Ovis aries: one gene and its partners. The protein of the gene in region 7 purifies or fractionates together with the protein of the main gene of each other region. This does not show direct contact. Links are inferred from orthologs where the notes say so. Each region holds a gene or a part of one and is shown on either strand. Other genes may lie near its edges. The genes, in order: U2AF2, PLRG1, SART1, DNAJC8, SNRPB2, DDX42 and SF3A2.

Evidence for each region.
Region 1: the proteins of SF3A2 (region 7) and U2AF2 purify together in Homo sapiens (affinity purification with mass spectrometry; 3 studies listed by BioGRID and IntAct, with this or other methods). This does not show direct contact. The link is inferred for Ovis aries from reciprocal best matches to the Homo sapiens genes SF3A2 and U2AF2.
Region 2: the proteins of SF3A2 (region 7) and PLRG1 purify together in Homo sapiens (affinity purification with mass spectrometry; 3 studies listed by BioGRID and IntAct, with this or other methods). This does not show direct contact. The link is inferred for Ovis aries from reciprocal best matches to the Homo sapiens genes SF3A2 and PLRG1.
Region 3: the proteins of SF3A2 (region 7) and SART1 purify together in Homo sapiens (affinity purification with mass spectrometry; 3 studies listed by BioGRID and IntAct, with this or other methods). This does not show direct contact. The link is inferred for Ovis aries from reciprocal best matches to the Homo sapiens genes SF3A2 and SART1.
Region 4: the proteins of SF3A2 (region 7) and DNAJC8 purify together in Homo sapiens (affinity purification with mass spectrometry; 3 studies listed by BioGRID and IntAct, with this or other methods). This does not show direct contact. The link is inferred for Ovis aries from reciprocal best matches to the Homo sapiens genes SF3A2 and DNAJC8.
Region 5: the proteins of SF3A2 (region 7) and SNRPB2 purify together in Homo sapiens (affinity purification with mass spectrometry; 6 studies listed by BioGRID and IntAct, with this or other methods). This does not show direct contact. The link is inferred for Ovis aries from reciprocal best matches to the Homo sapiens genes SF3A2 and SNRPB2.
Region 6: the proteins of SF3A2 (region 7) and DDX42 purify together in Homo sapiens (affinity purification with mass spectrometry; 3 studies listed by BioGRID and IntAct, with this or other methods). This does not show direct contact. The link is inferred for Ovis aries from reciprocal best matches to the Homo sapiens genes SF3A2 and DDX42.

What each region holds. Positions count from the first base shown.
Region 1 is NC_056067.1:62,662,731-62,666,230, forward strand, and holds part of U2AF2 (splicing factor U2AF 65 kDa subunit), read right to left. Parts: intron 868-3,500; coding exon 788-867; intron 686-787; coding exon 563-685; intron 402-562; coding exon 303-401; intron 189-302; coding exon 1-188. UniProt on the Homo sapiens protein: Plays a role in pre-mRNA splicing and 3'-end processing. By recruiting PRPF19 and the PRP19C/Prp19 complex/NTC/Nineteen complex to the RNA polymerase II C-terminal domain (CTD), and thereby pre-mRNA, may couple transcription to splicing.
Region 2 is NC_056070.1:3,068,819-3,072,857, reverse strand, and holds the start of PLRG1 (pleiotropic regulator 1), read right to left. Parts: upstream 2,801-4,039; 5' UTR 2,703-2,800; coding exon 2,694-2,702; intron 663-2,693; exon of another isoform or gene 661-662; coding exon 554-660; intron 269-553; exon of another isoform or gene 197-268; intron 1-196. UniProt on the Homo sapiens protein: Involved in pre-mRNA splicing as component of the spliceosome. Component of the PRP19-CDC5L complex that forms an integral part of the spliceosome and is required for activating pre-mRNA splicing.
Region 3 is NC_056074.1:40,499,806-40,503,305, reverse strand, and holds part of SART1 (U4/U6.U5 tri-snRNP-associated protein 1), read right to left. Parts: intron 3,116-3,500; exon of another isoform or gene 3,075-3,115; coding exon 2,948-3,074; intron 2,830-2,947; coding exon 2,724-2,829; intron 2,474-2,723; coding exon 2,396-2,473; intron 2,290-2,395; coding exon 2,190-2,289; intron 2,101-2,189; coding exon 1,958-2,100; intron 1,832-1,957; coding exon 1,625-1,831; intron 958-1,624; coding exon 833-957; intron 757-832; coding exon 623-756; intron 544-622; coding exon 410-543; intron 1-409. UniProt on the Homo sapiens protein: Plays a role in mRNA splicing as a component of the U4/U6-U5 tri-snRNP, one of the building blocks of the spliceosome. May also bind to DNA.
Region 4 is NC_056055.1:238,878,598-238,882,664, forward strand, and holds the start of DNAJC8 (dnaJ homolog subfamily C member 8), read left to right. Parts: upstream 1-1,267; 5' UTR 1,268-1,298; coding exon 1,299-1,376; intron 1,377-4,067. UniProt on the Homo sapiens protein: Suppresses polyglutamine (polyQ) aggregation of ATXN3 in neuronal cells.
Region 5 is NC_056066.1:10,387,102-10,391,173, reverse strand, and holds the start of SNRPB2 (U2 small nuclear ribonucleoprotein B''), read right to left. Parts: upstream 2,801-4,072; 5' UTR 363-2,800; intron 1-362. UniProt on the Homo sapiens protein: Involved in pre-mRNA splicing as component of the spliceosome. Associated with sn-RNP U2, where it contributes to the binding of stem loop IV of U2 snRNA.
Region 6 is NC_056064.1:47,759,555-47,763,560, forward strand, and holds the start of DDX42 (ATP-dependent RNA helicase DDX42), read left to right. Parts: upstream 1-1,206; 5' UTR 1,207-1,349; intron 1,350-4,006. UniProt on the Homo sapiens protein: ATP-dependent RNA helicase that binds to partially double-stranded RNAs (dsRNAs) in order to unwind RNA secondary structures. Unwinding is promoted in the presence of single-strand binding proteins.
Region 7 is NC_056058.1:19,186,462-19,189,565, reverse strand, and holds part of SF3A2 (splicing factor 3A subunit 2), read right to left. Parts: intron 1,745-3,104; 5' UTR 1,706-1,744; coding exon 1,580-1,705; intron 1,182-1,579; coding exon 1,110-1,181; intron 306-1,109; coding exon 259-305; intron 110-258; coding exon 1-109. UniProt on the Homo sapiens protein: Component of the 17S U2 SnRNP complex of the spliceosome, a large ribonucleoprotein complex that removes introns from transcribed pre-mRNAs.

The DNA of each region.
Region 1 (3,500 bases), on a different chromosome or scaffold from region 7:
AGCCCATACTTGCCGCACTCATCTCGCACATCCTCCACGATCTCCTCATACTCCTCATCGTCCAGCAGCTCCTCAGGCAGCACCATGTTCATCAGGCACAGCACCTCTGTCGGGTGCCCGCCCATCTGCACCTGCGAGCTCATCAGGCCGGGCACTTGCAAGGTCACAGGGGTCTGGTTGATGGTGCTCTGTGGAGGGGTGGAGGCAGGGGTCACGGGGTGCCCAACCCCGGTGTGGGGGGACCCGCCAGCACCCAGCCCCTCCCCGCCCCCAGTGCCCCGAGCCAATGGAAGATGACGTGCCAGGGGGCTCACCAGCGTGGCATTCTTGGCGCCCACACTCGCCCTCTGGACCAGCAGCTTCTTATCTCCCAGCTGCATCCCATTCAGCCCCGCGATGGCCTGTGGTGGGGCGGGGGAGGGGCCGGGGCAGGGAGAGGTGGTCGGGGTCAGAGCAGGCTGCGTGGCAGACAGGGCACGGCAAAGGGGGAAGAGCTGCAAGCCCCGCGCCCCGCCCTGAGGGGAGACCCCAGCAGGGCCGGGCGCGCTGGGGCCGGGCTCACCTGATCCGTGACGTTGATGTCCACGTACTCACAGAAGGCGTAGCCCTTGGAGAGTCCGGTGGCGCTGTCCTTGACCAGGTTGAAGGCCTTGAGCGGCCCAAACGACGTCAGCAGCTCTTTCACCTGCGTGGGCCGGGGCACAGTCAGGTTGCAGGGCGGGGCAGGGGGTGGGGGCCGGGGGTCGGGCCACGGTGCCATCAGTTTTCGGGGCAGGCAGAGGCCTACCTGGTCGTCATTCAGGTAGTTGGGTAAGCCCCCGATGAACAGCTTGTGCGCAGAGTCCGGGACCACGGTGGACACGACTCCTGGGGGGAGGGGAGTAGAGCAGACAGGTTGCGATTCCTGGCACGGTCATGACGGGGACCTGGGGGCTGTCTCCAGGGGGGCCCGCCTGGCTGCCAGCCCCCTCCTCACGACACCCGACACCAGCGGGCACAGCCGCACGATGGGCCAGGTCAGCAACCACACTCGCCCCAAGCTGGGGGAGCTCTCAGCCCCCAGGGAGGGTCGCAAACCACGGCCTCCCCTCCCCCTCGGGCCCCAGCTCAGAGCTCCTGCCCCCCCACCCCCTAACCAGGGCTCCCCAGGGGCCTCAACTCCCCGGGCCTGCCCACCCCCATGCCTCTGGGCCAGGTCCCGTGGGACCTCGGGCCCAGTGTTCTATGTACGTGAGGCTGGGCTGTGCCCACCCCGAGCACTGAGCTACGTCCGGTGGGGGCCCCTCAACAGAGCAGGCCTCAGGACTACCAGGCACCCACTGGCCACACCCCCTGCTGAGCGCCCCCGCCCCCCAGCCCACCAGGCTCTGCAGCGCTGTCCTCCAGCCCCCGGGGCCCACACCGTGGCCTGCTCCTGACTGCTTTCAGGGCCCACTGCGGCCAGCCACCTGGCCTGGCCCACCTCTTCGACCCAGCGCCGGTAGCCCGGAGGACCAGAGGGGCAGCGTTCCGCCCGGAGCAAGGCTCTTGGTGGGGGAAGCGGGGGCGGATGAGAACAACAGGCCGCCGAACTCCAGGCGGCCCAGCACGGGGAAGGGCAGGCCGCGTCCCAGCCACCACCAGCCTGCCGTGCTGAGGCTGCCAGGAGGGCCCACGCCAGATCGAGCGATGCAGACAGAGGCTCTGGGCTGGCGTGGGTGCCCAGAGCCCCCATGGGCTCTGAAGCCTCCCTAGGCCCCGCAGCATCGCCACCGCCTCAGCAGGAGCCCTAGCTGCCCAGCTACTGGCCTGGCCTGCAGACACCACCGGGCCACACAGGTGCACGGCCACAGGCCGTGCCCCTTCCATCCAGGGTCCTGAACTGTTTCTTCTCCAACCAAAAGCATCTGTTGAATTTTACTAAGTGCGTCTCCCTGGGGCTTTCCAGGTGGCTCAGTGGTCAAAAATCTGCTTGCAATACAAGAGACCTGGGTTTGATCCCTGGCTCATGAATATCCTCTGCAGAAGCGAATGGCAACTCACACCAGTATTCTTGCCTGGAGAATCCCACAGACAAAGAAGCCTGGCGGGCTACAGTCCACAGGGTCGCAAAGAGTCAGACAGGACTAAGGGACTATCACTTTCACCCCTTCAATAATCTGTGAACTCGACTTCTTCGTTGGAGTAGAAAGGAAAATCAAAATATTGTGTTTAGGATTTGCCTGGTGGTCCAGTAGTTGGTCCAGTAGTTAAGAATCCACCCACCAACTCAGGAGACAAGGGTTCGATCCCTGGCCCGGGAAGATCCCACTTGCCTCGGGGCAACTAAGCCCACAGAACACAACTGAAGCCCAAGCGCCCTCAAGCCCCACACGAGAAGCCACTGCCACAAGAAGCATCGCAACTAAGGAGAGTCCTCAAGCAGCAACAAAGACTCGCACGGCGAAAATTAAATAAAAAAAAAAAACTCGTCATTACAGAGAAACTTCTCTGGTTTGAGAATGCTTCACCCACATGCAGCATCTGGCTTCCTACCCCCTCCACAGCCCAGGAAGCACACTCCCCAGTCACTGTGGCTGGAGCCCCAGCCCTCCATGGAGACTGGAGGCAAATACTAGGAGAGGAGACCCGCCACAGTGAGAGCCAGGCTCCCACAAGGGAAGGATGACAGGCAGGCCTGCGTACAGGGGTGAGGCACCAGCTCTAACCCTGTACTACAGGACAGTCACGACACCACCGCACCCACAGGGAACCCCCAGATGGTGCCTGGCATGGCAGGCTTGGGCCAGCCTGCATCAACAGGATGGTTAGGACGCATTTGGGTCACCAGGAGGCACCGAAGCACATCCTGTGGCCTGATCCCCCAGACACACGTGCACAGAAAACACGGCAAATCAGCAGGTCAGGGCCTCCCACAAGCTCCAGAGACTGCTGGCCTCCCCCACACGCTCAGCAGGGACCAGAGAGGAGCCAGGTGGTCCCCAAGGGCCGCCCTCGTTGGGCCCCGCACCCCTGGCTTCATAAGCACAAGGACTGCTTCCAAAGCGCGCCCTTCGGTGTGAACCTCAGCTAGGACAACCCGTGCTCTCAACCCCCGGGGGCGGGGATGCCCCCAACACAGGCCCACCCTCGGCATAGCCTGCAGGTCCGGTGCAGCCATGTGCTGCTCCTGCCCGGTCTGAGGACTTTCCAGAAGGGCCTTTTATACCATGAGTGTGACAGGGCCCCCGACGCCAGCATCTGTGAGCATTCGGGCCAGAGTGACCGAGGAGCTCCACCAGAGACAATGTGCTGCAAAGCACAGCAACTCTCTGGCCCATCAGAGAGCAGCCTCTGGCCACCCAGGTCTGCTTCGCTGTCCACCTACCCAGACGGCACTGACCACGGCAGGGAGACCTGCTTCAAGCCAGGGGTCAGCGGAAGCCCCGAGACAGGAGAGCAGGGACAGCCGCCCGTCAGGCCCGAGGAGGAGCTCCACGGGCACGTGGGCGTCCACATGGGCTCTGGCGCGTGCACTGACC
Region 2 (4,039 bases), on a different chromosome or scaffold from region 7:
AATGCAAGTACTATGCTACTTTTAAGGACAGCCCACTTTGTTAATTAATTATAAATGCTTGTTTGAGGAATTAGGTAGATTTTAAAAGAAGGGTAAAGGACAAAGAAGGAACACTGCACATAATGCAATCTCAGACTGGAGCTGGAGATGTAGAACCAAAAATATGCCACCACTCAAGAATCTTCATCATACTAACGAGAAAAGATGGGAGTAGAGGTACTGGCCAGGTACAATTTCAGCTCAGCAAGGCTCTGAGAGCAGCAGGAAGCTGAAAGCACATACAAAGTGATTGATTATAAAATATAACACCTAAAAGGGACTCTCCTAATTACTGGGTATTTGTAAAATGCAATTAATTAATAGGAATTTTTCTGTAAAAAGCCAAAAAGAAAAGTTAAATCAGCTTAAATTATGCCAAAACATCATTCATTACTAATAGATCTCCTAAGAGTTAGTATGACTCACTAATTTTTAAAGGTTCCCCTCTCCCTGCTCTCTTCCCCCATTATTAAAAGTTGAAACATTCTAGCAATTGAAAGGGAACTATCCCTACCTCTCTTCATCCAAAGGCACAGGTTTTCCATTATCAGCCACAAACATGTCATGGGTTCTCTTCAATGACCTGAACACAAGCGTGTGTACAGAATGCTTCTGCACCTCCTAAAAAGAAAGAGTGTAATTACATACCTAGCTACAAATTACATACATCATAATCTAAACTGAAGCAAATTAATTATAAACTTTACACCTTTAAATATGTAAAACTTTGTACCACTCACCACAGCTATTTATAACAAGCTATAGGAGACAAGTTCAGAGAAGAGGAGGAAGCTTCTCTTGGGCCACAGCCCCAAGTATACCAACTGAATGATGCCTGAAATCAGTCATATGTTCAATAAACAATGAGTTCCCATTAAATGAGTGCCAGGTACTGTGCTAGAAACTAACAAAGGAATAATGAAAAGGCAGCCACCTCCCTGTGCTCAAGAGGAAACAGATAAAAATAGGGTAAGCAATTTTAATAATTGCTATGAAGGAAACAAGCAGGGGACTGAGACAGAACAGAGCAAGACCTTAGGCTGGTTATGGAAGATCTCTCTGAGGTGGCAGCTAAGCAGAGAAGGAATCAGTCTTGCACAAAATAGAGGTAAGAACAATCCAGGCAGGACTTCTCCGGTGGTACAGCAGATCAGAATCTGTCTGCCAGTGCGGGGACACAGGTTCCATTCCTGGTCGGGGAAGAATCCACAGGCCACAGAACAACTAAAGTCCCTGCGCCACAACTACAGGAGCCCATGCGCCTCGAGTCTGTGCTCGGCAAAGAGAAGCTACCGCGATGAGAATGTCCCGCACCGCAATGAAGAGTAGCCCCTCCTTCCTTGCAACTGCAGAAAGCCCAAGAGCAGGAACGAAGACCCAGCGAAACTGAAAAAAATCAATCAATCAAAAAAAAAAAAAAAAAATCGAGACAAGGAGAAAAAGCCATATACAAAAGCGTTCTGTAACTGAAATACTGCCAGGAGCTGTAGTACATAATGTACAGTACAGAAGCCGTAGAACATAGTATATGTTAGGCGAAAAGGAGGGCTCATGATGGAAGATGAGGTTGTAAGGACAGACCAGGTCCCAGTAAGTTGTTTTTTATACCACTGCAGCAGTGTGCATTTTTGCTCTAGTTTTACATAGGGCCACTAAAGTCTCATGCAAGAAAAGCTGGATCAACTTAGGTTTTAAACAGATCAATTTGGTGCGGAAGGGAGAGGGATGACAAACGCGGAAGCAAAAAGACCGACCACCTAAAAGCAAATGCATCAGCTGGTGGAAGATGATGCGGTCTGAATTCAGGTGAGGACAGTGGGCCTAGACAAAGAGCCCAGAATTCTGAGATGAGATGAACAGAGCTTGCTAACAGAATGATAGTTAGGGGGAAATGCAAAAATTCAAGAATGGCAGGTTTTCCCGGAAAAGAGCTTAAATAGGAGACAAAGTGAGATGAGAGGAGACCACCAGTGAGGACATAGAGTCACTGACTACCGAGCAGACGGCGAGTACCTGTGGTCAAACATCGATGTTCAATAAATGCCCCGCCTCCGTGACGAACTCCGTACCCAAGGACCGCGTGAAAACTGGAGTAATTGCCTCAGGCTTCCCGCCTGGAAGGCCTTCCCTCACAGCTCAGTTGGTAAAACAAACAAACAAACAAACAAAAAACCCGCCTGCAATGCAGGAGACCCCGGCTCGATTCCTGAGTCGGGAAGATCTGCTGGAGAAGGGAAAGGCTACCCACTCCTACCCACGCCAGTATTCCCTGGGCTTCCCTTTGGCTCAGCTGGTACAGAATCCACCCGCAATGCGGGAGACCTGGGTTCGATCCCTGGGTTGGGAAGATCCTCTTGGAGAAGGGAAAGGCTACCCACTTCAGCATTCTGGCCTGGAGAATTCCATGGACTGTATAGTCCATGGGGTCGCAAAGAGTCGGACACGACTGAGCGACTTTCGCTTCACTTCACAACTCTGGTTTCTCTTCCTCCAGAAAACCTTACGAGACCACCCGGTCTCGGCCAAACAGCCTCCCTTCGCAGCCACTACTCTCTCCAGTTCCCACACTCCCAAACCCTCGATCGCCCACGCCCGCGGCCAAAGAAAAACAATCCAGAAGCAGACGGCCCCTGAGCACCCAAGTGTCACTTTACCTCGACCATGGCTCCGCCGTCTATACAGGCGCTCCAGCAGGGAAGAAGCACTACTCAACAGACAGGACAGAAACCGCCGCCACGACTGCTCAGCCCCTTCCGGAATTGCGCTTCCTGGCCCGGATGTGACGCAGGGCCCCGCGCAGGCGCACGAGGCGCTCGCAGGCCTTCCGAGGTGAAGCAACGGGCTCTTCCCCGGCCGCCTCTGGGGAGGAGCTTCTGGACGGCAAAGCGGAAGATGCTGGAGTCGCGTGAGGGCGTGTTTCACTTGCTCTTGCAGAAATCTTGAGATAGTAACGTTTTCTGCTCACAGAAACGTTTTCTTACTCACAGCCTTAAATACTTTGGTTTACGGTTGTGGTTGCTTGCCCTTTGTTCTCTGGAATGGTAAAACGATTTCTTCAGACAAACCAACAGTTCTAGGGAACTTCCGGAGAGCGCGGGAAGGCTCTTACACGCTCTTGCCTTCTTTGAGGGGGCGCCTCCGTGATATACGTGGCCAGATTGCGCTATTTCACTCAGTTCGGCTGAAAGCCTTTAGACGTCTTTGTATTCTTGGCGCCCAGAAACAATTCCACTTATGCTGTCCATTAAGCACTTGTTGGAACAGTTTCAATTTGAGAAATTTTGCAAAAGATTTTGGTTTTAATAGCATGTGGCAACATCTCAAATTTATTTTCCATAGTTGTTTTTTTTTTTAAGTCTCTCAGAATTCTTGGCCATTTCCTTTATTTTCCACTAATACAGGTTTTTAAAAATTTTAATCTCTCAAAACTCTTGGCATAACTCTTGTTTGCTAGTTGTCCAGTGATAAATGTGGCTTCAACAATGCCAGAGTACAGTTGGCCAAAGTTGGTAGAAAAAAACCACAACTGAAGACAAGGCATTTTTATGTATTAATATATACAGACTGGTGCCAAAAGATGGGCATTTTGTTTTATACCCAGGTAGACTGCAGTTTGTGATTGTTGTACCTATATTACTAGGTAAGAAGAAAAATTGATGGAACTGGATATTTGCAAATTTGAATAGGCGAACGTTTTACTGGCTCTCCTGTTCTTTAACCATAGTCACTTTCTGCAGATCTTTTCACCAGAGCACCCCGCTTTAACAGGGAGAAAAATCTATCAAAGTATAGCAATGTGAGTTGTTCATCTCATTTAGAAATTAATTTTTAATTAATTATAAACGTTAAGATCATACATGTATTTGAAAATACAGTCATCTCTGAGTTTGAGTGTAAGTTTGGCTTTAAGGGCATTTCCCTGGTGGGTCACACGGTAAAAGAATCTGCCTGTGATAAAGGAGATTTGGGTCAATCCATGAGTCAGGAAGATCCCCTGGAG
Region 3 (3,500 bases), on a different chromosome or scaffold from region 7:
GCTCCTGTGTTGTCTGCACAGCTGCCACCAGCAGAGACCACTCAGCTTGCTCGTGTTCACAAGTCACTGCCATTTCTGCCCCATGAAAATCAGAGGAGCCCTTGGCTGTCCTTTCCCCCAGGGACTTCCCAGCCCTAGGATGACGCCTCACTCATAGCGAGGCAACACACAGCCCAGAAGGAAAGAAAATGCAAACAACGAAGCGCTAAAGCATCCCACAGTGAAAGCACGGCAGGAACCTAGAAACCCACCAGTAACACGACGTGGAACACAGAGAGGGTGCAGACCAGAACACGGAGACCGCCTGTGACGGCGTGGGACCGCGTGCCCCCGAGGACAAGTGGCTACAGACGCACCTGTCACGTGGGCCCCAGCGCCCGCCCGCGCCCAATCCCCGGAGCCCCCTCACCTTCTCGCCGCTGTCCCGCAGCTGCTGCAGCTGCCGCAGGCGGCGCCCCTTCTCCAGCTGCTTCTGCAGCTCCAGCTCCGCCTCGTCCTCCTCCAGCACCTCTGGGGACCCAGACTGCGGCACAGCGCCCTCCTCTGGGGGAGACACAGGAGACACCCGCTCAGACCACCGCCTGGCTCTTCGGGTCCCGCACCCCACAGGCCGGGCCCTCACCCTCATCACTGATGTCCATGTTCTCCACGCGGGTGTCATCTGACGGTGGCGGCTGAGGCACGGGCTCCTTCTCCCCCTCCTCCTGGGGCTCCTCGTCCGCCTCAGGCACCCGGCGCCGCCCCCGGCCCCGCAGTCTGCGGGCAGAGGCTTCTCTGTGAGGCTGGCCCCAGGGCCGGCCCAGCCCCCACACCCAGCTGTCTCCCAGCCCACCTGGAACCGAAGTCCCCATCCTGAGTCTGGTCCCCAAGCGGCAGCAGGTCATCGGCCCGCATGATCACCTCCTTCTCCTTCTTACGGATCTTCTTCACCCTCCGCTTGGTCTTTTTAAAGGTCACCTGAAAGGAGGAGAGAGGAGAGACTTGAGGGCAGGCGGAGGCAGGCGGCACAAGCCCACAGGAGTGGACACTGCTTGCTGCTATGCAGCAGTTCACACACGTGAGTGAGACGTGAGTAACCATCATCCCATCTGTGAGATGAGGACAACTAAGGCAGCAAGAGATTAAGTATCTTGTGCAAAGTCACCAGCTCCTAAGCAGGAGAGCCAGGACAGTGAAATCCCCCGAGACTGGTTCCAGAGTCTTGCTCTCAACCACAGAGGCAAGCAACCTACTGAGCCAGAGGTCTACCTGCGTGTCCACACAGCAGCCCAAAGGTGACACCCTACAAAACAACCGCTTACCAGACCACCACCAGCCCTTGGAACAGTCCCCGTGAGGGGGCTCCTGCCACCCCCATTTCAGAGGAGGAGCCTCAGGCTCACAGTTAAATGACACCCCAGGCATAGGCTGGAGATGTGGCAGGGCCTGCCCACCAGCTCAGGGGCACCTGGCTCACAGTCCTTGTTCTGTCTACACCGGCTGCCTCCTCGGGGCTGCCGGTTACTGCTCATCCACAGGGACCAAGTACCATGCGATTACCCGATCCCCCTTCTAGTGCCTTCTGGCAGCCTGTGGCCCCTGAGGAGAGGGAGGGGCAGGTCTGGACGAAGACCTCAGGACTCACCATCTCCTCTGGTGTGAGGTACTCAGAGGCAAGTCGTGGTCCAACCGTGCTCAGGGACTGGGCCTGCAGCCGCAGCTTGGCACGGATCTCCTCTAGCTCCCGCTCCCGGAGGCCATCAGCCACGCCGCCCTGCTCCAGTCGGAAGGACTGCGGCCGCTCGCCTTCGAGTTCCTCGTCGTACTTGGACAGGATAGAGCGAGGTTTGTGCTGCAAGGCAAGAAGGACAGATTGGAATGCAGTCTGGCTCCTGAATAGCCACAGAGCTACCATCTCCTCCCAAACCACCCGCCTGCTGCCAACACCCGCTGCCCGGTGCCCACGCTGCCGGCCTGCCTGGGCCAAGTCGTCCACGCTCTCGTCCTCCACGTACGGCAGGTAGTCGGGCTTCTTCTTGCGCAGCTCCACGTTTTTCTCCGCCCGCTCCTTGTCCAGCAGGTTCACGTTCACCAGCACGTCCTCCTCCTCCTGCAGCACTCCTGCAGACGGAGTGGAGAAGGTGGCAGCCGGTCACACTCCTCCACCCACAGGGCCTGGGCCCCCAGCCAGACTGCCCAGCGCAACCCACCTTTGTCCTTGAGGGTGAGGATTACCGTCTCCCCCTCACGGAAGGAGTCGATGGCATGCTCCACGGTGAGGCCCTGCAGGTCCCGGGCGCTGTACAGGTCCTAGAGACAGGGCAGAAAGCGCAGCCCAGTCTGGACGCCGCCCAGGGATCCCAGCACCTGGGACAGCAGCCTCCCCGGCCGCTCCCTGCAGCTGCCGCAGCCTCACCTGCCGCCTCTGCTCGAACTCTTCCTCCACCAGGGTGCTGACACCAAACTCCTGGTCCATCTCCTCCAGCAGCTTGGCCTACGGGACAGGGATGGGGCGGTGACCTATGACCTCAAGCTGTTCTGGATCACCGGAAGATGTGGGGCCTTACTAAGTGGGGATGCAAAAAGCACAGACCTAAACAAGCAAGCTGCTGAGAAGCCAACGCAGGCGCCACTGAGCACAGGCCTCCCACTGCTCTGAGCCCCCACCTCACGTCCCCATGGCCCGTCTGTGGCCCCCCAGCCATCAGGCCACCAGAGGCACTGGGTGACTCCCAGCACCTCACCCTCTTCTCTGCCAAGTCCTTCTCCTTCTGAAGCTGCCGGCTCCTCTCGATCCAGGCCGCGGTGTCGTCCAGCCAGGGGTCATCCTCCCCCAGGGTCTTAATCTTCCTGAAGACAGAGCAGAAAGATCCTCTGGAGAACCAGCTCCTGCTCCCCCGACCCCGATTCCAGATCTCCGGGGTGCCTCCTCAGACTCTGCCTGAGCCCACCTGGCGGGGACCCTCACCCCAGTTTTTGGTTCAGGATGCGCTTTTCTTTGGCAGCTGCCAGTTTCTCTCGCAGCTCCTCTCGCTGTCGCAAGGCCATGGGGTTGATGACATCGGCTGTCACGGGCTCCTCCTTGGTGCCCGCCTCTGGAAGGGAGGCCCAGGCGTGAGGCTATGCCTGCCCAAGGCTGGTGGGGAAAGGAGGGAGCCACTCACGCTGCCCCGTCCCACTCAGGGGGCCAGAGAAGCCAGAAGCAAGGGAAGAATCCTCTGCCTCCTGATCCCCGGCAACCCCACATTCCCACATCCCCCCCAAGAAGAGGGGACCCTCCATGCCTTCCAAAGCCCCTCTGGTCATACTTTAAAAAACCAAACTGAAACAAAAAAAACCCAACACGTGCACAGCGCAGATGAGTGTGCAGCACTGTGCACATCTCTTGGTCCCTTTAACGCTACCTCGCAGCCATACTGAGGCTGCCACGTCAATTGCTCAAGCTTAAACAAGCAGCCGAATCCCAAACCCCATCACAGCAGCAAGGAAACCCCAAGGCCACAGCCAGCACCCACACAGGA
Region 4 (4,067 bases), on a different chromosome or scaffold from region 7:
GTGAGGATGTGGATAAATTGTAACCCTCCTACATTGCTAGTGGGATTGTAAAATGGTTCAGCCACTTCGAAAAACAGCTTGGCAGTTGCTCAAAAGGTTAAGTATAGAATTATCATATGACTCGCAATTTCAGGGAGAAGGCAATGGCACCCCACTCCAGTACTCTTGCCTGGAATATCCCATGGGCGGAGGAGCCTGGTGGGCTGCAGTCCATGGGGTCGCTAAGGGGCGGCGGACACGACTGAGCGACTTCACTTTCACGCATTCAAGAAGGAAATGGCAACCCACTCCAGTGTTCTTGCCTGGAGAATCCCAGGGATGGGGCAGCCTGGTGGGCTGCCGTCTATGGGGTTGCACAGAGCCGGACACTACTGAAGCGACTTAGCAGCAGCAGCAGCAGCAGCAGCAGCAATTTCAATTCTAGGTACATACCTCCCCCCAGTAGAAAACTGGTACTCACACCTTCATAGCAGAACCATTTTACAATAGCCAAAAGATAGAAACAACCCAAATGTCCATCAACTGATGTGAATAATGTCATCAATTAGTGAATAAACTAATTGTGGTATACACGTATGATGGAATACTATTCAGCCGTAAAAGTGATGAAGTAATGGTGTGTGCTATATTTTGAAAGAACCAGGGAAACATGCTAAGTGAAAAAAGCCAGACACAAAAGGTCACATGTTGTATGACTGCATTTACATGAAACATCCAGCATAAGTAAGTCCATAGAGACATTGGCAAGTATGGGAAGAAACTGCTTATTAGGTACTAAGTGTCCGTTTGGGGCGATGCAACTGTTTTGAAACTAGACAGGTGGTGATTACACAATACTGGGAATATACTAAAGACCACTGAATTGTTCACTTTAAAATGGTTAACTGTATGGCATCTGTGCATGCGTGCTAAATCACTTCAGTCTCCGACTCTCTGCGACCATATGGGCTGTAGCCTCAGTCGTGTTGTACTCTTCGTAACTGTAGGCCGCCAGGCTCTTCTGTCCATGGGATTCTCCAGGCAAGCATGCTGGAGTGGGTTGCCAGGCCTTCCTCCAGAGGATCTTCTCAACCCAGGGATCGAACCCCTGTCTCATTATGTCTCCTGCTGCTGGTGGATTCTTTACCACTATCGCCACCTGGGGAACCCCAATTTAAAAGTTTATTTAAAGGTACCTGGCTGGGCGGCGACCCCTTTAAGAGACGCAAGGAAAGGGCCGGGGTTAGAGAGGCGGGCCTGTAAGAATCACGTGAGGTGGCGCCTGCGCAGAAGAGTCACGTGGTCGCTGGGCCGGGGAAATGGCGGCTCCAGGAGAGAGCGGGGCTTCGGGTGGAGGAGGCAGCACGGAGGAAGCATTTATGACCTTCTACAGTGAGGTAAACACGGAGTGAGGAATGGCGGCACCGGGGCGACCCCGCCCGGGGCTATCCTCCCAGTGGGAGAAGGCAGTGATCCTCCTGGCCTGGACCGTTGGGCGGCCCCTCCTGTCTGGCCTTTTGGGAGGTGGGGGACTCGGGGTGTGTGTGCGTCTCCTTCTGATACTGCAGGGGGGATCCCCTGGAAAACTAAAAGGGGGCGGGGGTCTGACGTCTGAGGGGAGGCGTCGAGTTTGGCCAACGAAGTGCTTGGGCGCGCGCAGAGTTCCCCAAGTTCGCGTAGTCGGATGCTTTCTGCGGCTGGGAAAGTGGGTCTGCCTAAGGCTGGTTAAACGGGTTACCGGTCCCCGATTGTATTCAAAACGGAAGCACTCTCTCCTCTTAGTCCTCTGTAGTGAGTTTTAGTAGTAGTTATTTCTGACATTCGAGAACGCTAGGCATTGTGCATCATGCCTTGTAGGCACTGTCTCCATTTTACAGATGACATACCTGAGGTTTAGGGAGGTGAAATAATTTGTTCAGGGTCTTAGAGCAGATGATAGTTTGGTATCATGTTAGGACCGAAGTAAGTTTGGTTTGAGCCTCATTTACTGTCGCATCTCCATCGGGTGCTGCGCAGTAGTTACTCAGTGAATATTTGTTGAGTGGATGAATGAATGAGTGGATGAATGAATAAAGAAAAGGATGGCTCTTGGAGTCATAGGACCTCGGGTTGGATTTTTGCATGGCTGTTAACGTGACTGTGACAATTCTTTCAAGCCATTGATTTTGCTAATCAATTTTCACGTTTGTAGAACGAAGTTTTTTATTAAAACGAGTTTTAATGAGCGTTAAAAGAAAGTTTCATAAAATATAAAGAAGAAGCTACTTTGTAAAAGTTAAAAACAAGGCTGGATGTGAACTTCTTTAGCTTGGTGTGGATTTGAGGAATGGAGTTGCTCGCCACCTGGCTGTGATGTATTCAGAGTTAAGCACCGTGTTACATTCACCTTTTATCTCTGGTATTTGTAACAGTGCTTGCTACATAGTTGGGTTTCCCTAGTGGCTCAGACGGGGAAGGCAGTGGCACCCCACTCCAGTACTCTTCCCTGGAAAATCCCATGGGCGGAGGAGCCTGGTGGGCTGCAGTCTATGGGGTCGCTAAGAGTCGGACACGACTGAGTGACTTCACTCTCGCTTTTCACTTTCCTGCATTGGAGAAGGAAATGGCAACCCACTCCAGTGTTCTTGCCTGGAGAATCCCAGGGACGGGGGAGCCTGGTGGGCTGCCGTCTGTGGGGTTGCACAGAGTCGGACACGACTGAAGCGACTTAGCAGCAGTGGCTCAGACTGTAAAGAGTCTTACTGCAGTGCGGGAGACCCGGGTTCCATCCCTGAGTCGGGAAGATCTGGAGAAGGAAGTGGCAACCCACTCCAGTATTCTTGCTCGGAAAATCCCATGGATGGAGGAGCCTGGCAGGCTACACCATGGAGTCCGACAGGACTGAGCGACTTCACTTTTGTTACATAGTAGTTTCTCCGAAATAATACATTTTAAAACAACATAGTACATCCATTTATAGTCTACTTTCAAAATGTCTCATTCACTTTGAAGTGTTAATTTGCTGGTACCAGTGTTTTCTGGTGGCTCAGATGGTAAAGAATCTGCCCAGAATCTGCTGGTTATATGGAAGACCGGGGTTTGAACCCTGGGCGGGGACGGTTCCCTGGAGAAGAGAACGGCTTCTCTCCAATATTCTTGCCTGAAAAATTCCATGGACAGAGGAGCTTGGCGGGCTACAGTGTGTGGGATTGCAAAGAGTCAGACACGACTGAGTGACTAACAATAATGGGTACTGAACAATTATAGGGGAACTTGTTTTAATTTCTTAGTTTTTTTTTTTTAAAGCAGTCCTGGTTTGTTTAAATTTTAATGTCAATTTCATTTGTGAGCTGTATTGCACAGATGACTTTTTTTTTTTTTTTTTTTTTGTGGGACGGAATATTTTCTCCTGGGGGCAATGACTTATGACTGTTTTGCGGTAGTTTGCGCTCGTCTTAGCTACTCGTGGTTATGAACAGAACGGTTTTCATGAAATGAGTTACATGCTCATGGGCTATGGGTTTCATATTAGGTACTGTACAAACATCATGGGTGTCTGATTTTCCCTTTTGTGGCCCCATTGAAATGAGCCATATCTCTTAGGAAACTCCAGCAGTGCTAGAGCTTGCCCTGCAGACACCTTTTTTTTTTAAATCTACATATTCACTGGCATGGTTTGTTTAATGAGAGAAAATGTCTAAAGGAGGATCATTTAATCATCATTCAACTAATGTTTATTGAGCACCTGATATGCACTTCGTCCTGTATTGTTTAGCTCCTTGGAGAAATGGTAGTTGACAGCAGAAAGAAGAATCCCGTCTTCATAGGGCTTTCATCTTACAGAGAAGGCTGAATAATGAACAGATGTATAATATAGTGTTAGGTAGTGCTAAGTGCTATGAGGAAAAATGAGACTGGGAAAAAGAGAGTACGGTCGAAGGTGGGGAGTGGCGTGCTGTTTTACAAGAGTTAAGAGGGAAGGTGCTGAGAAGGAGTAGCTTTTCCTGTTATTGAAATCCTTTCCAACTCTGTTTTGGCCATAGAAATAAAGATAGTATATATACTATGCCAGAGGTTCATTCCAACTAAAATTTCAGTTCTGACAGTGG
Region 5 (4,072 bases), on a different chromosome or scaffold from region 7:
ATAAGATACAGAACATTAATGAAATTGGCTAAGAATCCTTGCATGGGTACTCTCATAAAGCACTTCCATATTATTGCTTAATTTACACACACCATCACCAACAGTCCTGATTCCAAAGTCAAATGGAACCGACTTGAAACGCTGGTATAGTACAGCATGATGGTTAAAAACTTAGGATCTAGTGCCAGTGGATTTGAATTCAAATCTTTCTATGCTTCTTACTAGCTGCTTGACTGATGGCAAGTTCCTTAATTTCACAGGTTCATATCTGTAAAATGGGGATGGTGATTTGCCCAATAGAGCTCAGAAGACTAAATGAGATAAAATTCTTTGCAGCTTTAGAATGAGCAGTAAGCACTTACAACAGCTGTCACTGCTGTTTATCACAGAATAAAGCACAGATTCCCAGGTGGCTCAGTGGTAAAGCATCGGCCTGTCAACGCAGGAGACGCGGGCCCGAACCATGGGTCACGCAGATCCCCTGAAGGAAATGGCAACCCACTCCAGTATTCTTGCCTGGGAAATCCCATGGATAGAGGAGCCTGGCGGAATACAGTCCATGGGTCGCAAAGAGTGGAACATGATTTGGCGACGAAACAAAAAGTTAATGCAAGTTCTTTCCCACGGTTACATAGGTGATACGCAGGAGGCCTGAAAATTCAACCCTCGTTTTCTGTCTCTTGCACTTTTATTTCACACCCACCACACTATTTCATTTTTCCCACTCTTTAGTCACGAACTGGGACCTTGCTTTATTCCCTGATAACCCACATATACCTTCATTTCACAAACATTTACACTCATAGTACTTGCATAGCGTAGGATGTCTGACAAGCAAAACGCCTACAGATGAGGACTGTTCTGTAGGTTAACAGGTGAAAGGTAACGCAATCCCAAAGAAAGGCAATGCCAAAGAATGCTCCAACTACCGCACAATTGCACTGATCTCACATGCTAGTAAAATAACGCTCAAAATTCTCCAAGCCAGGCTTCAGCAATACGTGAACCATGAACTCCCTGATGTTCAAGCTGGTTTTAGAAAAGGCAGAGGAACCAGAGATCAAATTGCCAACATCCACTGGATCATGGAAAAAGCAAGAGAGTTTCAGAAAAACATCAATTTCTGCTTTATTGACTATGCCAAAGCCTTTGACTGTGTGGATCACAATCAACTGTGGAAAATTCTGAAAGAGATGGGAATACCAGACCACCTGACCTGCCTGTTGAGAAATCTGTATGCAGGTCAGGAAGCAACGGTTAGAACTGGACATGGAACAACAGACTGGTTCCAAATAGGAAAAGGAGTACGTCAAGGCTGTATATTGTCACCCTGCTTATTTAACTTCTATGCAGAGTACATCATGAGAAACGCTGGACTGGAAGAAACACAAGCTGGAATCAAGATTGCCAGGAGAAATATCAATCACCTCAGATATGCAGATGACACCACCCTTATGGCAGAAAGTGAAGAGGAACTAAAAAGCCTCTTGATGAAAGTGAAAGAGGAGAGTGAAAAAGTTGGCCTAAAGCTCAACATTCAGAAAATGAAGATCATGGCATCCAGTCCCATCACTTCATGGCAAATAGATGGGGAAACAGTGGCAACAGTGTCAGACTTTATTTTTGGGGGCTCCAAAATCACTGCAGATGGTGACTGCAGCCATGAAATTACAAGACACTTACTCCTTGGAAGAAAAGTTATGACCCACCTAGACAGCATATTCAAAAGCAGAGACATTACTTTGCCAACTAAGGTCCGTCTAGTCAAGGCTATGGTTTTTCCAGTGGTCATGTATGGATGTGAGAGTTGGACTGTGAAGAAGGCTGAGAGCCGAAGAATTGATGCTTTTGAACTGTGGTGTTGGAGAAGACACTTGAGAGTCCCTTGGACTGCAAGGAGATCCAACCAGTCCATTCTGAAGGAGATCAGCCCTGGGATTTCTTTGGAAGGAATGGTGCTAAAGCTGAAACTCCAGTACTTTGGCCACCTCATGAGACGAGTTGACTCACTGGAAAAGACTCTGATGCTGGGAGGGATAGGGGGCAGGAGGAGAAGGGGACGACCGAGAATGAGATGGCTGGATGGCATCAAGGACTCGATGGACGTGAGTCTGAGTGAACTCTGGGAGATGGTGATGAACAGGGAGGCCTGGCGTGCTGCGATTCATGGAGTCGCAAAGAGTCGGACACGACTGAGCGACTGAACTGAACTGAACGCCTCTCAGAGGTTTGAGACCCCTAAACTGAATCTTGGTGGATTGGTGACTCGAAGACGATGAAGAGAAGGAAGTGACAGGGATCAAACTGAGCAGGGGCGCAGGGAGTCGCCTTCCGGATTCAAAAGGGGAGCCTCTGGGAGGTCCCTGAGAACGCACGGCGCGCGGTAATCGCCTCGCATACGCGAAGGTTTTCCGTAACTTCACACGCGCGAGGGTGCCGGCTCTCCAGACGCAGCGACGTCCGCCCACGGGCTCCGCCCGAAGCCCCAGGAAGCGGCCACGCCATGCCCGGCCCCAAAGTGTCCCGCCTAAGACAAGCTCTAAGTCCAGGGGCCTCGCCAGACCCGAGCGTCAGTTTCCAGGCCTTCCTCGGCGACCCACCACGCACCCTCGGCTGCATATATTCCGGCCCCAGCGCAGCGGACCGCTTATTCTCGGCTCCCGCAGGGGAAGGTCTGCCTAAGCCGCAACCCGCAGCCAGAAGAGAGGAGAGAGCGAAGAAAAAAACCCCGCCAACTCACCGAACAGGTCCTCTACGTCCCGTAACAACCACAAGCCAGAACCCGGAAGCGGAACCAGCCACCGGAAATGACGCTACCACGCACCTCAATCGAAAGCCGATCAGTCAAGAAGCCGAGCCCAGAGTGGATCGATGTCCGTCGGTCTAGACCACAGTAAGTAATCGCTCTGAGCATGCGCACACCTGGTGGATGGGGAGAACAGGTGTGAAGGGGAAACGCGGTAAGGGAAATAGGCCTGGGGGAATTCTGTGGGTTTAACTCGAATTCTGGGGGAGCGCAGTAAGAGTATAAGGACAGACGGTGATCAGTTCCGTCACCATGAGTTAGCGCTGTTTAACCTAGAACATCCTGATAAACACATCTGTGGGCTTCCCTAGTGGTTCAGACGGTAAAGAATCAGCCTGCAATGCGGGAAACCTGGGTTCGATCCCTGGGTTGGGAAGATTCCCTGGAGGAGAGGGCATGACAACCCACCCCGGTATTCTTGCCTGTGAAATCCCGTGGACAGAGGAGCATGGTGGCCTGCACTCCATGGGATGGTCCAGTTGGACACGACTAGACAGGACAAACACATCAGTAAGTTGAAAGCACTGTAAGATGCAACTGAGAACACATGTAATAACACCTAACTTACCCAGCATCACACATTTAATCCAGACCTATCACAAAGGTGCTCAGAACACTCACAGTAGCCTTTTTGTTGTTAAGCCACTCAGTCGTGTCCGACTCTTTGCAGCCCCATGGACTGCAGCACACCAGCCTTCCCTGTCCTGCAGCATCTCCTGGAGCTTGCTCAAACTCATGTCCATTGAGTTGGTGATGCCATCCAACCATCTCATCCTCTGTCATCCCCTTCTCCTCCTGCCTTCAATCTTTCCCAGCATCAGGGTCTTTCCTAATGAATCAGTACTTCACATCAGGTGACCACTGTATTGGAACTTCAGCTTCAGCATCAGTCCTTCCAATGGATATTCAGGATTGATGCCCTTTAAGATTGACTGGTTGGATCTCCTTGCAGTCCAGGGGACTTTCAAGTGTCTTCTCCAACAACACAGTTCAAAAGCATCAATTCTTCAGTGCTCAGCCTTCTTTATGGTCCAACCCTCGCATCCATATGTGACTACTGAAAAAACCATAATTTGACTAGATGGACCTTTGTTGGCAAAGTAATGTCTCTGCTTTTAATATCCTGTCTAGGTTGGTCATAGCTTTTCTTCAAGGAGCAAGCGTCTTTTAATTCCACTGCTTCAGTCACCATAGGCAGTGATTTTAGAGCCCAAGAAAATAGTCTCTCACTGTTTCCATTGTTCCTCCAAATGTTTGCCATGAAAT
Region 6 (4,006 bases), on a different chromosome or scaffold from region 7:
TCTGTCTGTCAAACCAGCTGGGTCTAATCTCTCCCCAACGCGGAGAATTAGTTCTCTGCTCCATTATTCTTGCTGCCCGCTCCAACTTTGCTCTGCGGGTTGGCATTTGCTCAGAGTTCTGGAAGTTGCCCAAAACCGTTAAAGCCATCCCGAAGAGAACTCCCAACAGAAAACAGGGATTTGGGGTGGACAAAGTTTGGTATGTTCTTAAGAAAATCGGGAAAGGCGAGAAGGCGCGAGGATCGAAGCATGTCACCTAAAGGCTGGACTTAGGGGCTGGACTGGGAACAGGGACCCGGGTAGGCCACGCAACTCAGCGTCACCGCTCGGCCCGGCCAGGCCCCACCGACCAGCGCGTCACGGCCCGCGCCCTACCTGCACTGGGGGCTAGAACCCGGCCCGCTGCTCCTGCGGCCGCCGCCTCTATCCCGCTAGCCTCTGGTCCCGGCCACCGCCTGCAGGGTCAACGCGACTTCACTGCCCCGACGCCTCTAGGACACAGCCTGACCAGGCAGCTCAGTCACGCCGCGCCACTCTTCACGTAGCCTCCGCCAGCCGTTACGTAGAATGCGTGAGGCCTGCCCGCGCCTGCGCGCGGCACGGGGCCGGGACACAGCCCTGGGGACTGCGCGAAACCGCCTGCTCCCCCCCAAGATGAGGCGAGGTGGGGCGGCCGGGAGAATTACATAAGCACCGCCCCTGGGCCGGAGCTGCCGGCGCCTATCCCAGTGCTCTCCGCTAGGGTTCAGTCTAGTTGTCATCACGCTGAACCCCTGCTCCGGAAGTTAAAAGTCACCATGCTCTACAAGACCACGTGTCCAGGGGCACGGGGAGAAATGTCGCCCAGGTCGTATTTGCTAAGGAGCAGAGTTTAGGGAATCGGCAATTTCATGTGCATGTGTTTTCCAATCGAGCCCCTTTTGGGGGATTTTTTTTTGGCGGCTCCCTGCCACTACTACTTTTCTTCACTCCCAGACCCACTCCCTATACGGGCCATGAACACTCCTCACTCAGAAGCAATGGCTGTAAGAGTCTGAGGGGTCTGTGCGGTATCCGGGAGCCTTAAGGCCCAGAGCCCGCGGCGCCTTCCGGGAGCCGTAGACCAGGCTCCGCCCTTCGCCCGCGCTTTCCGCACTGCGCATGTCCGGTTTTGTTCCCCTCCCCCCTCCGTCAGCAACGGGCCAAGAGGCGGTGGCGGCGGCGCCGGCGGCGGCGGCAGCGAAGGGGGCGGAGAGGGAGGAGCGCGGCGGGACGGGGCCTGGACCGCGCGTACTTCGGGCCGTGAGGTTCTCTCCGAGTCAGCGGTAGCAACAGCTGCCTCTGCAGCCACAGCAGCAGGTTTGCGTGAGGTGGGTCTGGACGCGGGGCCGTAACCCCTTGGGGGCACCACAGGCAACTGCGGGGCCTAGTGAGGGCCAGGGAACCGCGGCCTCTCTTAACAAAGAGTCGGCGGAGCTTCCAGGAAGCCGAGGCGCAGGGGCCCGGGGAGGGGTAGGAGTGCGGGACTGAAGACTCGAGGAGCCTTTCGAAGCCTCGTCGCCCTCCTACGGCTCCCGCTTCTCCCACAACTCTTAATGAGGCCCAGTTGGCGGCTTTACGGAGGCGGCGATCGCCCGTCCGGGAAGCGATTTGCAGGGTGCTGGGCTCCGGGAGGCATAGGCACGGGGAGGATTCTGACCCGAGCCAGCAGCAGTTAACAGATGCTAGTTTCCAGATCGGGGGACCTTCCAGGCCAAAGTTGCCAAATCTGAAGACAGTGAAAGGCATAGTCTGTGATCTTTGTGTAGCTTTGAGTGTATCTGTGACTAGCATCAGCCTCCTCACAAAACTTTTCTGCTGCCTGCTAAAGAGCCTTTCTGATGTGGGTAAATAATTTATATGGAGTTGCAAGCTTAGGGCACCAATAATATAAGGAAGAAAGATCATACTTGTCGAGACTTCGGGGGAATCGTAGCTTTCTTATCACCTTAGCGGAAGCTTTGCCCCCTCACCCCTTTGGGCGGTCATTCAGATTCCTCTGGCTTCCCATACATTTTGGTTTTTTGTGAATGATCTTTGTATATATCTATTTTCTGTATACACACCACCGAACTCCTAAAGAGCAGAGATTCTGTTTTAATTCGCTTTAACTTTCCAGAGCCAAGCCCAGTGGAAGGTCTTTCATACCAAAATTCATGTTGAGACTTTAAGTGGTTAAGGAAAAAAAATGTATGTTGTATTTTCCTGTACCCAGAAGAGACATACTCTGGCCTAATATGCAGTTCATTCACCCAAGAAATATTTTTGTTGATAACTTCTGTGTGCCTGTTCCCTACCTGTGTGCTTGATTTGTGACCCGACCCTCCTGAAACATTGTAGTGAGGGGAAGAGAGAAAACAAATATGTAAATTATACTGTAAGTTAGAAGATGATTAATGCCTTAGGTGAAAAAAAAAAAATAAAGCTGAAGAGAGGAATGGGGAGATGTTGCATTTTTAAACAGCATGGTCAGGGAAGTGTTTACAGACAAGCTGATGTTTAAGCAGACTAGATAAGGAGGTGAGGGAGTGAGCCCAGCTAGTTTCTGGAAGAATGATCCTTCCAGGCAGAGGAACCAGCAAGTATAAAGACCTTGAAGAGGACAATGCTGGCTTGTTAGAGGAACAGTTAGAAGACCAGCATGCTTGGAGTACTGTGAGCAAAAGGAGGAATTATTAGGAGATAAGGTCAGGGAGGGGAACAAGGCGTTGCAGGGAGCACCAGACAACCAGGACCTTTTAGGCTGTTGTGAAGATTTCATTTTTATTCTGCCTGAGATGGAAACTGAGAGTTTTGAGCAGGGGAATGGTAAAATCTGACTTACACTGTTAATAATTTAGTGCAGTTTGTGGAAGAGTACAGTTCTTTATGTTTTAGTTTTTATCACATCTTTATGTAATCAGCTCTTAGTTTCTTTAAGCCAGCAGAGGGAAAAGAGATGCTTCCAAAACAAGTGTAATCTAGCATTTACTTATTTTGGCTTTAGAAGAATGTGTTGGAATTCTTGGGTTTTGTACAAATTCTTGGTAAAGAGTCAGATTTATAGTGTGTGAGTTATTCTCAAGGCAGATTGTTAGATAGAGTAGACGGTGATCAACTGTCACTAGAAATCTTTCTCGTACTCCAAAAACACAATGATAACGAAAAAGTAACATTTTATAATCATTAGTTTTTAGTCCACTATTCTTAAAGTCATTTGGATCTTATTTTCCACTATTTCTCAAAACATAAACTAGCCAAATTATCTTCCTTGTGTTCCTACACTTATTCTAATTTCCTAGACTTTGCTGTTTCTAGCTTTCCTCCTTGCATCATGCTTCTCTACTCAGCTTATATCTTTCTGTGTTAAAAAAAAAAAAAAAAACAACTTAATCTTCTGGGTTCTAGCTCTCTTTTGAAGCCTGTCCCCATTTGTCAACTTGTAGTGATCTCTGACATCTTCAGTGTCATGTGGCACCAAGGTATGGAATCTCTAAGTCGAAAGAAACTTGAGAAGTCTTAACTTGATATTCTGCATTAACCAATGGAGAGATTGATTTCTGGAAAGAAAAAAAAAAATGATAAAACATGACAGCTAGTACGCATTGTGCACCATTTGCCAAGCTTTGTTCCAGGTGTATTTTTGTGTGTGAATTCAGTTTTTCACACCAACCCTATGAAGTAGGTGATAGTCTCACCATCTTATAGATGAGGAAAGTAAGGCCAGAGAAGCTGAATAACTTCCATGAAGTTCGCATCAAGTTAGCTGGCAAAGCCAGTGTTTAAACGTAGGCAGCTTGGCTCCACGGTCTGTGCTGCTTTACTGTGCTGTTAAGATTTTCTACTAAATCACATTTTAGTGCCTAAAACAGTACCAAGCAGGTATTGATACTTTATGCTGTCTTTAATTTTTCTGGTTGGCCAAGTTGTGAATCTCCCTAGGTCTCCTATACGTTGAGTAAACATGAATGATGAGTGTATTCTCTGGAAAACAGAAGAGGAAAAAAAA
Region 7 (3,104 bases):
TTTGTAGCCTGGGCGGCCGATCTTCACAAACTTCTTCACTTCTACCTTGACCTTCTCCGGTGCTGGCTGGGCGGGGGCCTCCTTGGCCTCCTTGGCTGCTCGCCGGGCCCTGCAGGTGGGACGGACACAGTGTTGAGGCCCCTCCTCACAGGCCATCAAGGCCACAGCCCCAGGCGCCAGGAGCGCCCATCCCCGGCCGACCTTGGAGATGTGAGGTGAGGGGGACAGCAGGCATGGGAAGGGGTGCCAGGTACTTACAAGTTGGTCTGATGTTTCTTCCCCTGGGTGTGCGCGAGGTAACTCCCCTGGAACATGAGAGGAACATGCAATTGAGGGCACAGTGAGGGAGTGGTGCCCGGTGTCCCACCCGGGCCCGCCTCCATCCACAGGGCTCAGTGCTGACGGGCACCCGGTGGCTACTGAACACATGAGCTCTCGTGGATCTGCACACAGGGGGACGAGATGCTCAAAAGCCAGAGATGAGAGTCTCGGGTCGGGGGGACACAGCAGTCTTGTGGCTGCCAGGATGTGGGTGGGGCCAGTGGATATTGCTGGGCAGTGGTGGGGACACCTGGAATAAACATGCCCTTTGATTCCACCTCAATAATGTCCCAAGAAGAAAACATGTGTATCAGCAGTTTCCAACTGGAGGCTTTTCTGACCTCCAGGGACTCTATGTCCAGGATGGTCCCCCAAAGAGAAGGGGGAGCCTCAAAACCGCTGGGAGATGCTCCCATACGAGACTATTCAGCTCAGTGCAGCTGTCTGGAGCTGCGAACCATCTGGACAGAAAGTGCGCCCTCCTTACACAGGAAAGGACAGAGAGGACCTGCTTATGGCGAAGGACAGGAACCCAATGCAAGCAAGCATCCGACTGACACTTGCTTAAAGACTCAAACTAGAAGCCATGCCTTCCAGACCTCTCGCCCCACGTGGACATCCTGGACATCCCCACATGTACAGATGCACATCTGTGATGTCGGAGCCACTGATGTTACAGGAAACTGACAGATGGAGGTAGGGACCCCACGGTGGCTGTCCCAGTGCCGTGCAGGGCGGAGATGGCACAGCGGGGCTCTAAAGCCAGTACCTCCCTGGGAAAAACGCACCTCATTGTTATGTAGCGTCAGGCACAGCTTGCACTCATAGGAGCCCAGATGGTTCTTCATGAAGTAGGGGTCCTGCAGAAGAAACACATGTGTCAGGCAGTGGGGGAGACGCTCAGGGATGGAGGACAAGCTGGAGCCCCAAGCCAGCACCACCGCCCCTGGGATCCCACAGGGTCCACTGCACGGGGTTAGGGCTGGGGCTGACCGCCCGCCTCTGCAGCAAGCCCCGGAGAGGGCTCCCTTGAAAGCCCCCAGCCCCACATTAGTGGTGGCCTGGGATCTAGGAAGAGGCAGAGCCGAAGGTGCACTGCTGATCCTCCAACTCCCCAGCCGGGACAGGGCTCCTCGTGCTGCAGTACAAGCTGGGCGCGGGCAGAGGAGAGAAGCAGGCAGGCCAACCCCAGGCCTGGGGAGACCATGGTCTGGAGGGCGCTGAGCTGCTGCTTTAGGGTGGGCAGGTGGGCGCACACCTTATTGATGTCAATGGTTTCTAGGGCCAGCTGTCGCAGGCGCTCCCGGCGGTCCCGGTTGCTCTCAGAGGAGGAGGCCACACCCCCGCTCCCGGTCTTGCCCCCGGGGCGATGCTGGAAGTCCATGGTGAGACCCTGGGCACTCTGTCAGACCAGGGGAGAAACCTGCGGAGGCCAAGGGGCAGCTGGTGAGACTACATGTGAGATCTCACCCTCCTGGCCTGGCCTCACCTCTCCCCACTCTCACCGCCCCAGCCCTGGCTTCACCACCTGTCTCCCAATGGCTGAGGGCCCATGCTGGGCCAGGCACACAGGGATGAGGAAGGAGAAACAGGAGAAACGAGGCATCTCCAGGTGACAGTAGGGGTGGACCGGAGAGGAAGGTCTCTTTGACTGAGGAGTGCAAAGACCCAGGGACCCGAAACAACAACAGAGAAGAGGAGGCTGAGTTCTCACTAATTAGTCCCATCTCCTCTAAGCAGCCTTCCCAAACTGCCCAGGCCCACACCATTCACCCCCTTCTCTGAATCTCTTTTCTGCTCGTCTACACTTCCTTCCCGCAACCTAAACTCTACTTCTCTGATTCAGCAGTACATTTGCTGGAACAAGGAACACATCCGTCTACCTGCCTGCCCCCGACCCCCACTGCCTAACACACGAGACAGTCACAGCTCGTTTGCAGCTGAGGCAACTCTTCCAGGCCCTGGATTCTCCTCCATGCCCATCAAGCTATCCAACTGCTATTTCCTACTGTTCCCCATACTGCTCCAGGTGCAGTTCAGATCCAGCCTCGGGTACCTTCCTCTCATCCTACACTCTCTTTACTGTCAAAGCTGGCCCCAGGCCCCTGGTTTAAACCCACAGTATCTTGACTCTGTTAGGGTAAGCTCACAGAGATGGGGCCCAAGAGTGTGAACCCCCAAAGATGTACCTGTCCTGCTCCCTGGGGTGTCTGGACACGTCACCTCACGCAGAAGAGGGGACTTTGCAGGTGGGATTAAGTTAGGTCCCTGAGATGGATACGACCCTGGATTCCCTGGGGGGGCCAAGTGTCATTATAGGGTCCTTATAAGAGGGAGGGGGAGGGTCAGAGGCAGATACAGGAGATGCTGCTCTGCTGGCTGTGAGCCAGGGATGCAGTGCCTCCAGAAGCTGGAAAGCACATGTCTTTCAGCAGGAGCTGGTGCTCCCCTGAAGCCTCCAGAGGGAACAAAGCCCAGTGAGACTAGTGCTGAGTTTCTGACCACATAGATGCAGCGCAAACTCATGTCATGGAAGCCACTGGTGATTTCCTGTACCAGCCAGCTGTGCCACTAACTTGCCCTACAACTTGATGAGTTTATGAAAACCTCACGTCGGGTGACCAGTAGGGTGACCTAGCTGGCTGCAGAATCACCAGGCCTAACTCTTTTACTACACACAAGGCCACCCAGAGCCATCAACTGGTAAAGGCAAAACACTAACAGAGCCAAGAGTTCCAGTCAGTTTGGGGACAGCCAGTTCCTTCATAAGCAGCCAGAAGAAC